Arabidopsis thaliana: one gene and its partner. The protein of the gene in region 2 interacts with the protein of the main gene of each other region in a biochemical or structural test. Each region holds a gene or a part of one and is shown on either strand. Other genes may lie near its edges.

Evidence for each region.
Region 1: the proteins of CA1 (region 2) and AT3G11630 form a complex in vitro, tested with the Arabidopsis thaliana proteins (one study listed by BioGRID).

What each region holds. Positions count from the first base shown.
Region 1 is NC_003074.8:3,670,155-3,674,692, reverse strand, and holds AT3G11630 (Thioredoxin superfamily protein), read right to left. Parts: upstream 2,658-4,538; 5' UTR 2,505-2,657; coding exon 2,298-2,504; intron 1,915-2,297; coding exon 1,840-1,914; intron 1,679-1,839; coding exon 1,597-1,678; intron 1,502-1,596; coding exon 1,422-1,501; intron 1,298-1,421; coding exon 1,172-1,297; intron 1,078-1,171; coding exon 964-1,077; intron 873-963; coding exon 756-872; 3' UTR 534-755; downstream 1-533. Other genes in the region: AT3G11640 (uncharacterized protein), read right to left, coding at 1-192; AT3G11620 (alpha/beta-Hydrolases superfamily protein), read left to right, coding at 2,959-3,029, 3,119-3,192, 3,274-3,345, 3,469-3,497, 3,608-3,658, 3,765-3,815, 3,945-4,004, 4,102-4,184 and 1 more. UniProt on the Arabidopsis thaliana protein: Thiol-specific peroxidase that catalyzes the reduction of hydrogen peroxide and organic hydroperoxides to water and alcohols, respectively. Plays a role in cell protection against oxidative stress by detoxifying peroxides.
Region 2 is NC_003074.8:193,917-199,923, forward strand, and holds CA1 (carbonic anhydrase 1), read right to left. Parts: upstream 4,245-6,007; 5' UTR 3,958-4,244; coding exon 3,736-3,957; intron 3,649-3,735; exon of another isoform or gene 2,932-3,648; intron 2,810-2,931; coding exon 2,748-2,809; intron 2,590-2,747; coding exon 2,440-2,589; intron 2,340-2,439; coding exon 2,291-2,339; intron 2,183-2,290; coding exon 2,066-2,182; intron 1,926-2,065; coding exon 1,872-1,925; intron 1,779-1,871; coding exon 1,693-1,778; intron 1,596-1,692; coding exon 1,490-1,595; intron 1,422-1,489; coding exon 1,263-1,421; coding exon of another isoform or gene 1,257-1,262; exon of another isoform or gene 976-1,256; coding exon 937-975; 3' UTR 510-936; downstream 1-509. Other genes in the region: LSF1 (uncharacterized protein), read right to left, coding at 4,939-5,061, 5,188-5,332, 5,508-5,620, 5,733-5,838, 5,943-6,007. UniProt on the Arabidopsis thaliana protein: Reversible hydration of carbon dioxide. Required for photosynthesis in cotyledons. Binds salicylic acid.

The sequences.
Region 1 (4,538 bases), 3.5 Mb from region 2:
TGGCTCAATACGAGAGTGGTGGTGATTCTTCTTGCAACACATCAAGAATTGGAAAAGAACCTCTTTACTTGCCGGAGACGGTAAAGATCCGGTGCGGCAACAAAAGATGTAAGAGAGCTCGGCGAAAAGGATGAGCAGAAAGAAGAGTAACACGGCGAGAAGTACGGCGCCGGAGTTGGTGAGGGCATGCATCGTTTGAGAGAGAGTGTGAAAAAATAATGACCGGGACGTAGTGTAGTTAAAGCAGGAGAGTTGACCGGCGTTTACCGGTCATCAGTTGACGGAGGAGGTTGGGTTGATGATGATTAATGATGTTGGAATTTGTTGGCAGGGGGACACATGAGCAACTTTTTTACAGGTAGCATCAGCTTTTTAAGGATCATAATTATCATATAGATGCATTAAAGAAAGAGAAATGATAGTTTTATAATTTCTGTCCTTTGGTTTTTTTACAGGTCCTTTAATATGACTAGCGTATATGGTAGAACAATGGCTTCTCTGTGCTATCAAAGAAGATCACAAAATGGTCTTGATTTTTACCATTAATATGTACAGTGTACATGCTTAGGTAAGTGATCAACTGAATATGAATTTGTAGGCGTAACACAATAAGACTTCCATTAACGGAAAAAGTTTTTTATTATAATTTTGGGGACAAAGTGAGAATCAAACAAAGGATTGTTTTAGCGTACAAGAAAAAAAACTCTGCTCACATATAACAAAGATTGTACCTTTTTGCTATCATAGTAGAGTTTCTAAATAGCTGAGAAGTACTCTTTGCTGAGTTTTGGGTCGGGTTTCATTGACTTCTCACCCGGCTTCCATCCTGCTGGGCAGACTTCATCCGGGTTTTCCTGGATGTACTGTAATGCCTGCAACATTGAAAACGTATTAAGCATACCGGAAATCGAGTGAAAGGAAAGAGCGGTTTTTGGAGTTGTGTGTATTTATTTGTATCTTTACCTGGAGGGTTCTCATTGTCTCATCAACGCTTCGGCCAATACCAAGATTGTTGATGGTGGAATGTTGGATCACTCCTTCCTTGTCGATTATGAAAAGTCCTCTCAGTGCTATTCCCTGTTCTTACACAAACAAAGTTCTTGTTTTCATTTATCCCAAACACTTCGAAAGTTTAAAGGAAGGTAGCCAAGATTTAAAGGCTAACAATTACCTGATCATGGATGAGCACTCCGAACGACTTTGAGATTGATTTAGTGACATCTGAAATAAGGGGATAGTTCAGATCACCAAGCCCTCCAGATTTCCTGTCTGTTTGGACCCATGCAAGGTGAGAGAACTACGAGGACACACAGAAATAAGAATGAATCAAAAATTTGCAAACAGATAAGAACATGGTGATGTCAACCAAGGATGAGGAACTGAGTAAAATGAGAACATAGTAAATGTATAGTGATACTTACCACACTATCGACAGAAACACCTAATACTTCGGTGTTCAACTTCTCAAATTCTGAATGCCGGTCACTGAAGGCAGTAATCTCTAAAAGACATAAGGAAAAAATGAGAAAGATTAGGACTCAAGGATGAGGGAACCTTGGATATTCAATTTTGATATACTTCTCGAGCAATGCTAACCTGTTGGGCAGACGAAAGTAAAGTCCAATGGGTAGAAAAAGAGAATCACATACTTCTTTCCAATGTAATCAGAGAGCTTAACCTGAAACCATACATTCATCAGTTACCAATTAGTTTCCAATCACAATAAGACATATACTCACTAAATAAAAAACACTAAAGACTACTCATTCAGCTTCAAAACTAAACTTAATCTCAGATTAACTAGAAGCAGCAACTGTGATTGATAACTGCTGTAAGTACCTTGATGAACTCTTGATCAAACACAGCCTCTGCCTCAAAATCAGGCGCCTTGTTTCCAACCAGTGGAAGATCATCCTATAATCACCAAATTAAAACTCGTTAACACATCAAATCTAAGGAGAAAGATCAGTCAAATTGACAATCAGATAACCATGGTACTATACCAAAACTACATAGACCTCATCCGAACATACTAATCAGTCAATGAGTATAGCTCATATGTCACTCAATTTCACTTCACCAGAGAAATTAACAACCCTAAACGAAAATGTCACTCAAATTTCTGAACTTTTCGAGTAATCTGCAGAAACACGGTCGCATAACCTATAAATCGTTAACTATTTCCCCAAAACCTATAGGGCTAACAAGTAGGAAGAGAGTGAAATCTATAACAGGCTAATGAATTCAGATTTCAATGACATCGAATAAGAAAAGTATCGACATTTAGATAAACTTACGGCCTGGGCTTTGACAGCAAAGCTCCGACGAGAAGTGGAGCTGAGGGAAGAGCGTCGAGCAAATCCGGAGCGGAGAGAAGCAGATGCGGAAGGAGAAGAAAGGGTTCGAAGGAAAGAAACAGATGGAGAGGAAAGTGAAGACTTTGCTGGAAAAACCCTAGAAGAGGGAGAAGAGATGAGAGTAGTTGAAGAAGCAACAGACGCCATTGCTGCTACACACACTTTGTGACTCTCTGAGTCTGAGCTACCAAACACTCTTATCTATCTGTCAATCACCTCTCTTTGTAGTGGAAGTATGAGGTGGAGATAAGCCTGACGACACCCAAACTCATAAAACGACGTCGCGTTACTCAAAACGAGGTCGTATTACTATTGCTGCAAATATGCGTCTTCTTCTTCTACCTTGGGTAACTCCGTCTCTCCGTTACTTTCTTCCTCCGATCGGTGGTTCAGTTCTCCAAAGTATCTAATCTACTCCTGTTGTTTCAGGTGCATTGTTGTGCTCTCTTCACTTGGTTTACTTTAAAAGGCTTCTTCACTTATTTTGCAAAGTTTTGATTTTTAGTGGTTTCTCTGTTGTCTCATTAATTCTCTCGATCTTCTCCTTTCAAGTGTTGACAGTTCTGAGAGAAGATATAAGTTGAATCGCGTGACCGGAGACATGGAGACTCAAAACAAATTGATGAATGAAACTAAAAGACATGTTAAATCCAGATTGTGCAGAGTTTCTGGGTATTGTTACATTAATCTTTTACGAAATTTTCTAATTTCTTTGACTATAGTTACACTTTTTGTTTTGTTTTTTGTATTTGTGATCAAAGTTCGATGACGGAGATGATGGAAATTCAAGCTGAGAATCCCACATTCCATGTATTGTTTATTCCGGGAAATCCAGGTTTCATTATTATGCTCAAGACTCTTATGCATGCACGTGTATATACTAGTGTGCTTCATACATTGGCTTGTAATTTTTCAGGAGTTGTGTCATTTTACAAGGACTTTTTGGAATCTTTATACGAGTTTCTTGGTGGAAATGCTTCTGTAATTGGTATGGCTGCTCTACTTTTCGAGTTTGATTTCTTTGAGTCCTTAAGATGGAAGCTGTTTATTTCTGAGTTTGAGTTTGTTCTTCTGATCTCTAATGGTGGAGTGGTTTGTTTTATTTGTGTAGCTATTGGGCAAATATCTCACACGAGCAAGGTACGTTAACTTTGGTTTCAGGTTTTACTGTGTGTAAACTTTGATGGTTCTCTTCATATAATATCTTAGTTTGATAGGCTTTCATGATACTTGATTATTTTCACTTTTAGGACTGGGAGTCTGGGAGGCTATTTTCATTTCAAGAACAAATTGATCATAAGGTAATAAAAATCATTTTTCTTCATTGCTCTTGGATTTGAAAGCCTTTAGGTTCTTGTATTGTTCATCCTGTGAAGTTAAGATCTTAATCTGTTAGTTATCATACAGATTGATTTTATCAGACAGGAGTTGGAGAGTGTGAAAGTTCCAATAATATTGGTAAGACTGTCATGTGTATAAGCCATTGACATATTGCTTCTTATGACCAAAATATATATGTCCATTAGTTGGATGGATTTCCAGATTTTCATGAAAATTTACAACTCTAAGCTTAATTGATCTTGGTAGGTTGGGCATTCTATTGGGTCTTATATATCCCTTGAGTTATTGAAGAAATTCTCGGACAAGGTATAGATGGCTTCCTCTAAGAGTAGTACTTTCTCCATCACAATTTCTTTCAGTGCTATGTGATTTTTCTTATATTATTCTCTGGAATGCTTTGCAGGTGGTATATTGCATTGGCCTATATCCATTTTTGACTTTGAACCAACAATCAACAAAGCAATCATTAATTGGCAAACTTGCAGCGTGAGCTTTTGTTCTCAATACGAATCCTCGATAGGAAAGAACCAATCAGTCTTTATTTAGAATGTTGTGAAATCGTTATCATGTTGTGCAGGTCTTCTGTTCTGTCGGCTACAGCAAGTTTTCTGATTGCATCGCTGAGACTTTTACCTATGTCAGCTGCACGGCTGCTTGTATCTAAATCCATTGGAGCTTCATGGTCTGATACTGCTGTTCAAGCTACCTGCACTCACTTGAGGCAGGTATTGATTATCTCATATTCACTGATTTTCTTGGGTTTTACACTTGAACCTAGTTGTATAAAGACTTGAAGATGGCCATTACATCTTCTTTTCTTGATACTTTAAGTTCTTATTC
Region 2 (6,007 bases):
TATGTAACATCAAATATAATGTATTTATCAAATCAATGAGTAGATATATATAGTTCATGTCTTCATGAAATCATGGGACTCTTGGTCACTTTGCTACTTTTTCCTCAAGCTTTAGCCTTTTCGTTTTGTGGGTTTAATCTTCTTCGATCGATTTATACCGGATTCATAAACGTCGTCCTTGGACAAAGATTTAAGCCCGTTCAACGGTGCTTTTTCATGATGGATATGTAAAACCTAAACCGAACCTGACCATTTAATTGCCACAATAAAGAATTGCAAACTTGGGCCTAGGCCCATAATGTGTAGGCGGACAAATTTAAACAGCAACATACACAGACAAATTTCAGATGTTTATATTTTATATGACCAAAAAACTACGAAGCTACAAATCTACAGTTTCACTATCCGCATCCGGATCTGTTAGACTGGGATATCCGGGTTCCGGGTACCAGAATTCGACAGTTTTAAGGATTTGGGTATCGAACCCAGAAATTAAAAGATCCAGAGTTCTAGGGTTTGTGAGATATCGAGAAGAGATCGAAATGATTTTGTGACCTTCAAAGAATGATTTTGTGTTTGTGTCGGCAAGTGATAATTAATTGGGCTTGGGTATCAAAAATATTTGGTTTGTTAAATATATGGGCTTTTAGCTAAATGGGTTTCCAAGCCTTTTTATTTCATGTAGTTAATGGTACCGGATCCGGATATCCGGGTTCATTTTTTTCATTATCCGGATCCGCCCGTCCCGGATATCCTTATTTACGATTCAATGATTTTTTTTTGATTTTTTTTTTTTTAGTTTTTATTCAAATTTCTGTCCCCCAAGATTTTAATTCTGTAAAATCAAAAACCAGTTTCATCAAGATCTGCATGTAAACAACAACTTGGTGTTATTGAATTGACAATGTGAAATCGGGTAAGGCTTCAAAGAGTTTCCTACAGCTTCCAATGTAGTATGGTAGCCACATCTTTAACCTACCAAACAACATAGAAAATAAAATCAAACCATAAATACAACCGATTTGATACACAAATAATAAAGACAATTGTTCATAATTAAACCACGAAAGATCTATATCATCTGCTTTTCCTTTTTGTTTTATATATATGAAGAAAGTTGGTAGAGAGGGAGAGATAACTCATCACAGTCAAAGGCACATTACAAATTACATATGGGGTAGATATATATTATATACGATGATAATAATGATGATGATGATGGATGGTCATGATGATGATGATGATGATGGATTGGTTCATACAGAGCTAGTTTCGGAGAGGCCAAATTCAAGTCCCCAAAGCTCAAAAGCACCCTTGACGAAGTCATAGTAGCCTCCCTTCAAAGCAAGTGTTCCCTTCACAAGTCCTTCTCTCACAAATGGATATGTCAATAGGTTTGCTAGTGAAACATTCACCGCCTCCTGCATTTATCAATACATTTATATTGTTATATATGATCAGCTCATCGATCTAACATGTGTTTGTATACCCTTTCACATCGGCCACATTGATCTTCAAAGGCTGAATCTCCAAGTTCTGATATAACCTTTGACTTGGCTGGTAAACAGATTTTGACCCAGTCCTCTATGAAGTCACTGCAATTAACGTATATATTTTTTACTAATCTCATTTAATAAATCCTGTTATTAAAATTGATTAAATTTTAATAAAATGGATATAGAGATATTTTACGTGGAGTTGTTTCCATCTAAGGGGAAAGACATAAGCCCTTTGATCCCACCACATGCACTGTGTCCTATCACCACAATGTTCTCCACCTACAGTAATAAATTCATTCAAAAATTAATTACATGTACTTTGATAAATAATTTTTTTTGGTTAAGGTGTTAATTATTTTATTTTATTTTCACCTTAAGGTGTAAGACCGCGTATTCAATGGCTGCTCCAACGCCACCGTATTTGACCTGCCAATTTAGCAACCCAAAAATGAAAATAGAAAGTGAATGTCACGACTTCTCAAGACAAAAGTCAAGACTCAAGAGGCAGAAGGTTTAAGATAGAAGAGTTTATATCTATAGAGAGACAGACGTGTTAAATTATTAACCTTGTCGAAAGGAGGAACCATGTTGGCTATGTTACGGACCACGAAGGCATCTCCTGGCTGAAAGTCCAGAACGTGTGATGGACACACACGTGAGTCTGAACAAGCAAACACCATGTACTGCACCACCATTCACACACCTTTGTTAATTACTTTTTCTTAATGTTTCATTTTTAATTTATAAGCAACCATGATATACACATAGTATTAGTTTTATTTTTAATTTACCTTAGGACTTTGACCCTTTGCGAGCTCACCGTACAAAGCAGGGTTGGTTCTGCAAATAAAAGTATAAATATGAACCAGTTAATTAATCTAGACCACTTTAGTTGGTGACATAATTAAGAACAAACAAATGAAATAGAAATATATATTACTCGTATTTCTCCTTCTTGAATTTGATGAAGCCCTGCTTAATGGTTTCGACGGGGTCGAAAGCTTTCTTGTCGGATGAAGTACCTGTCTGAAGAGCCGCTGTGATCTGCTCCACCTTTGCCGCTGCAACCGTCTTTAGCTCTTCCTTCTCGCTGCCATATGTTTATATACATTTATAGTTAAATCACAAAAATTATGAATTAAGTAGTATTGAAAAATCCCGTTACTAATTTATAATAATGTTTTAGCTTTTATTAATCTAATCATGTATTAATGTATGCATGCGAATAGAAAAGATGTATATACTTACATGAGAAGCTTCTTGAGAGCTTCAATAGCCTCGTCGTATGCTTCGGTTCCCATCTCTTCACTCTGCAAGTTGGTTGACCAAATAAAATTAGAAGAAAATGAGTACTAGTATATTTTATTGTCGTGAACGTAATTAAGTAGAGAGCGAGTCATGACGTGTTTTAAATGTTGAAACTACAATCAACCTGTTCAGAACTTCATTATACGATAAAGTACAATTTTATAGTCTTTTATATTATGATTTTATTTTCGCTAGTAGGAACCAAATCGGTAGGTTGAATGAATAAATATAGATGGCGACTTAATCACCACTATGCTCCACACGCTCTCATATGGTACATGTGCATACACACACGTCTCAGTTTCATGAATCGTTTTTGTTGAAGCTACTACTAGCAACTTTTCTTTTATCACGTGGATCCTACGTACGTTCTAACTCTCAAAATTTCAAAAATGTCGGATCTTGGGTAGGAATGAGACAACGCTTTTAATATTTCGAGGTGATTTGTTTTTAACTTCACTAGATGTCGAAGCAAGTAGTTTGAAGATCTGTATAGAATAAGGATTGAAAATGAACTCTTCCCTTGCTTGTGATTCACTAATTAAGCAACTTTAGTTTGATTCTTGTTAATTTGGGTAATTCTTTCAGTACCACGCTAAAGACCAAAAGTCAAACACGGATGATAATAGTAAGGATAATATAAGGAAATACCAAGGGAAAAAAAAACTGAAATGTGAAACACATGTGACAGTTTCCAAGATTTGTGGAAGTTTCGTAAGCTAGTTTCTATAGAAGATTTTTGTTCCTATCACTAAAATGGCAATTGCAGAATCTATATAATAATTTCGTAAAATCTTTACAAATTTTAAAATTCTGTAACTTTAGTTTGCTATCTATGTAATGTACCCCTATTATACGTAAACAGCAATGTAAGTTATGTAAGAAATAATGTAGGTTAAGAAACAGTGATGAATGTAAAAATGTATACCCAATAAGGGGCAATGATAGGAGCAGGAGCGGCAAAAACTGGCTCGTTACGGATAAGCGTTGGAACGGAACGGGAAGACGAGGAGGAGGAAGATGAGGAAGAAGAAGAGGCGGGTGGGAGGCAAGCGACGGTGGAAGAAGTACGAAGAGAGAGTTTCTGGAGAGAAGATTGAGAAGGAGAAAGTGAAGTGAGAAAGAAGCCGGAGAGAGGAGCGGTCGACATTTGTTGGCGAAGAGAAGCGGAGATCAGAGAGAGTGAGATATGTGTATTTATAGTTAGAACTAAGACTCTTATGGAAGCTACTATATACTTAAGTGAATAATGGGATTGGTTGAAAGATTTGGGAGTTTAAAAGAACGGAGTCTCATGGTCATGGTGAGGTTGTGGGAACGAGGATAACGAAAGCGATAGCTGCGGTGAATAACAAACTTTCTTCTTTTCTTGTGGATGAGGAATATTAGCTCAAGATTTCAAAACTTTTACGTGCTCTTTTCTTCTTTCAATTCTTTTTTTTATAAAAAAATAAAAGGTCTCAGAAAGGTTTAGAGGATAAGGTCCCTTATCATGAAAACAAGGATCAGCCTCTTTCACTTACCCTCTCAGGCTCTCATCTTAAATAATCACCACCCACTTTAGATGTTAGGCCATTTGTTTGTGGTATACATATAGAAAGATCCATACTTCTCTAGGCTCTCTCTAGACCAGAGATTGCTATTGTATACACAATCTAGAAGATGCAAAGGATTAACATCGATCATGGACTGTTCTACTCTACGAAACAACAGACTCAGTGAAAACTCTTAGCATGAAAATGAAGAGGAAATAAAAAAAATAGAGAAGAAGGGTCTCTCCTCTCAGACCTTCCATGGCCATAAATCATCATATAGGCAACATTAGATAACAGAGTTTCTATTTTCTTCAACATGTTAGGAGAGAGCGAGAGAGAGAGAGAAAATGAAGAAGAAATACAGAGACCAGTAACGCATTAGGGTTGGTTTTGGGACTTATATGTAAAGTGGGCAACGGCGAAACTATGTCGACATTTTTTCATGCAAACACACAACATAATGTCAACATTCTCTTGTCATAGAGTGCGCGAATGTGGCAATGTTGTTCACAACGATATTAGGGTTAAGTACCTCGAGGAATGGATAGAGACAGAAGAATGGATGTAACATTTTAACTTATGCCAAAACAAAACTTCTACGACTTTGGGCATAGTCTTATTGGACAAACTGAGAATGCGATACACCGAGCTGCTTTCGCCAGCCTAAATCTTTCGCTCTCTGTTAACACTCTCTCGATCACCTTTATGATATTTGCATCCTGCAAAACATTGTACAAGTTGCTTCAGGTTTATGTCTTGAACCAATCAGGCAAATATAACGTGGAACATCTTATTCAAGCTTTTCCTATTGTATGAAGAAGAGACTACTGCATAGTAGGAGTAACCTTTCTTGGTTGTTGAATTGTAGGCCTGACGTTAGCAACATCACCAACTACAATTATATTGTTCGTGTTTCCTCGGTCATCTCTTTCCGTTGGTGAAGTTGCTGAATGCCTCCAATCACCGTTGATTATGTACTTGTAGTAGTATCTGCCACATTGTCAATAATCACCAAGTTATATGACACAAATGCATTTTCATAAGTTTCTTTGCAGTTTGCAATCCCTCAAAAGTCACAATTAACATGCAGGGAAGATTATGAGACGTTTTACTGTTGAACCTTAAAAAAAGCATCAACGGGAAAGGTAAAAGAAGCATGACTTACTTTCCCTGTGTAAGTCTAACTTCAGTTTCAAAACGTGGACCGCCTTTGTGCGTTGCTTTTATCGGTTCTTTCCAATTTCCTGTGAAATCCCCAACCAACAATACCTCCTCCCCCTGTAAACCAAGGTGTAACTTAAAACACAGAGGCTAGTTGCTCAACCCTACAGATCACGAGTTCCATAAAGAATTGCAGCAAAGTAATAAAAGCATGTGAAGCAACAGTCACCTCATGTCCATTCCACACAAAGGTTACAGAGTGTGTTGGAGTCCCATCATGTTTGCCATCGTCCACCATAGCGATAAGATCCCATGTTGCCCAAGCAATTGCAGGTCTGTGAAAAAATACATATAACTTGTCTGATGTTTTCATTAAAACAGAAAAGCTATCCATGGTCTGCAGGTTAATGGTCAAGACAGAGATAAGATGGATAAAAACCTGTCAGGTTTGCAAGCGTGCAATCCAGTAACGAAACTATAAGCAGCATGAAGAGAGGTATCAGT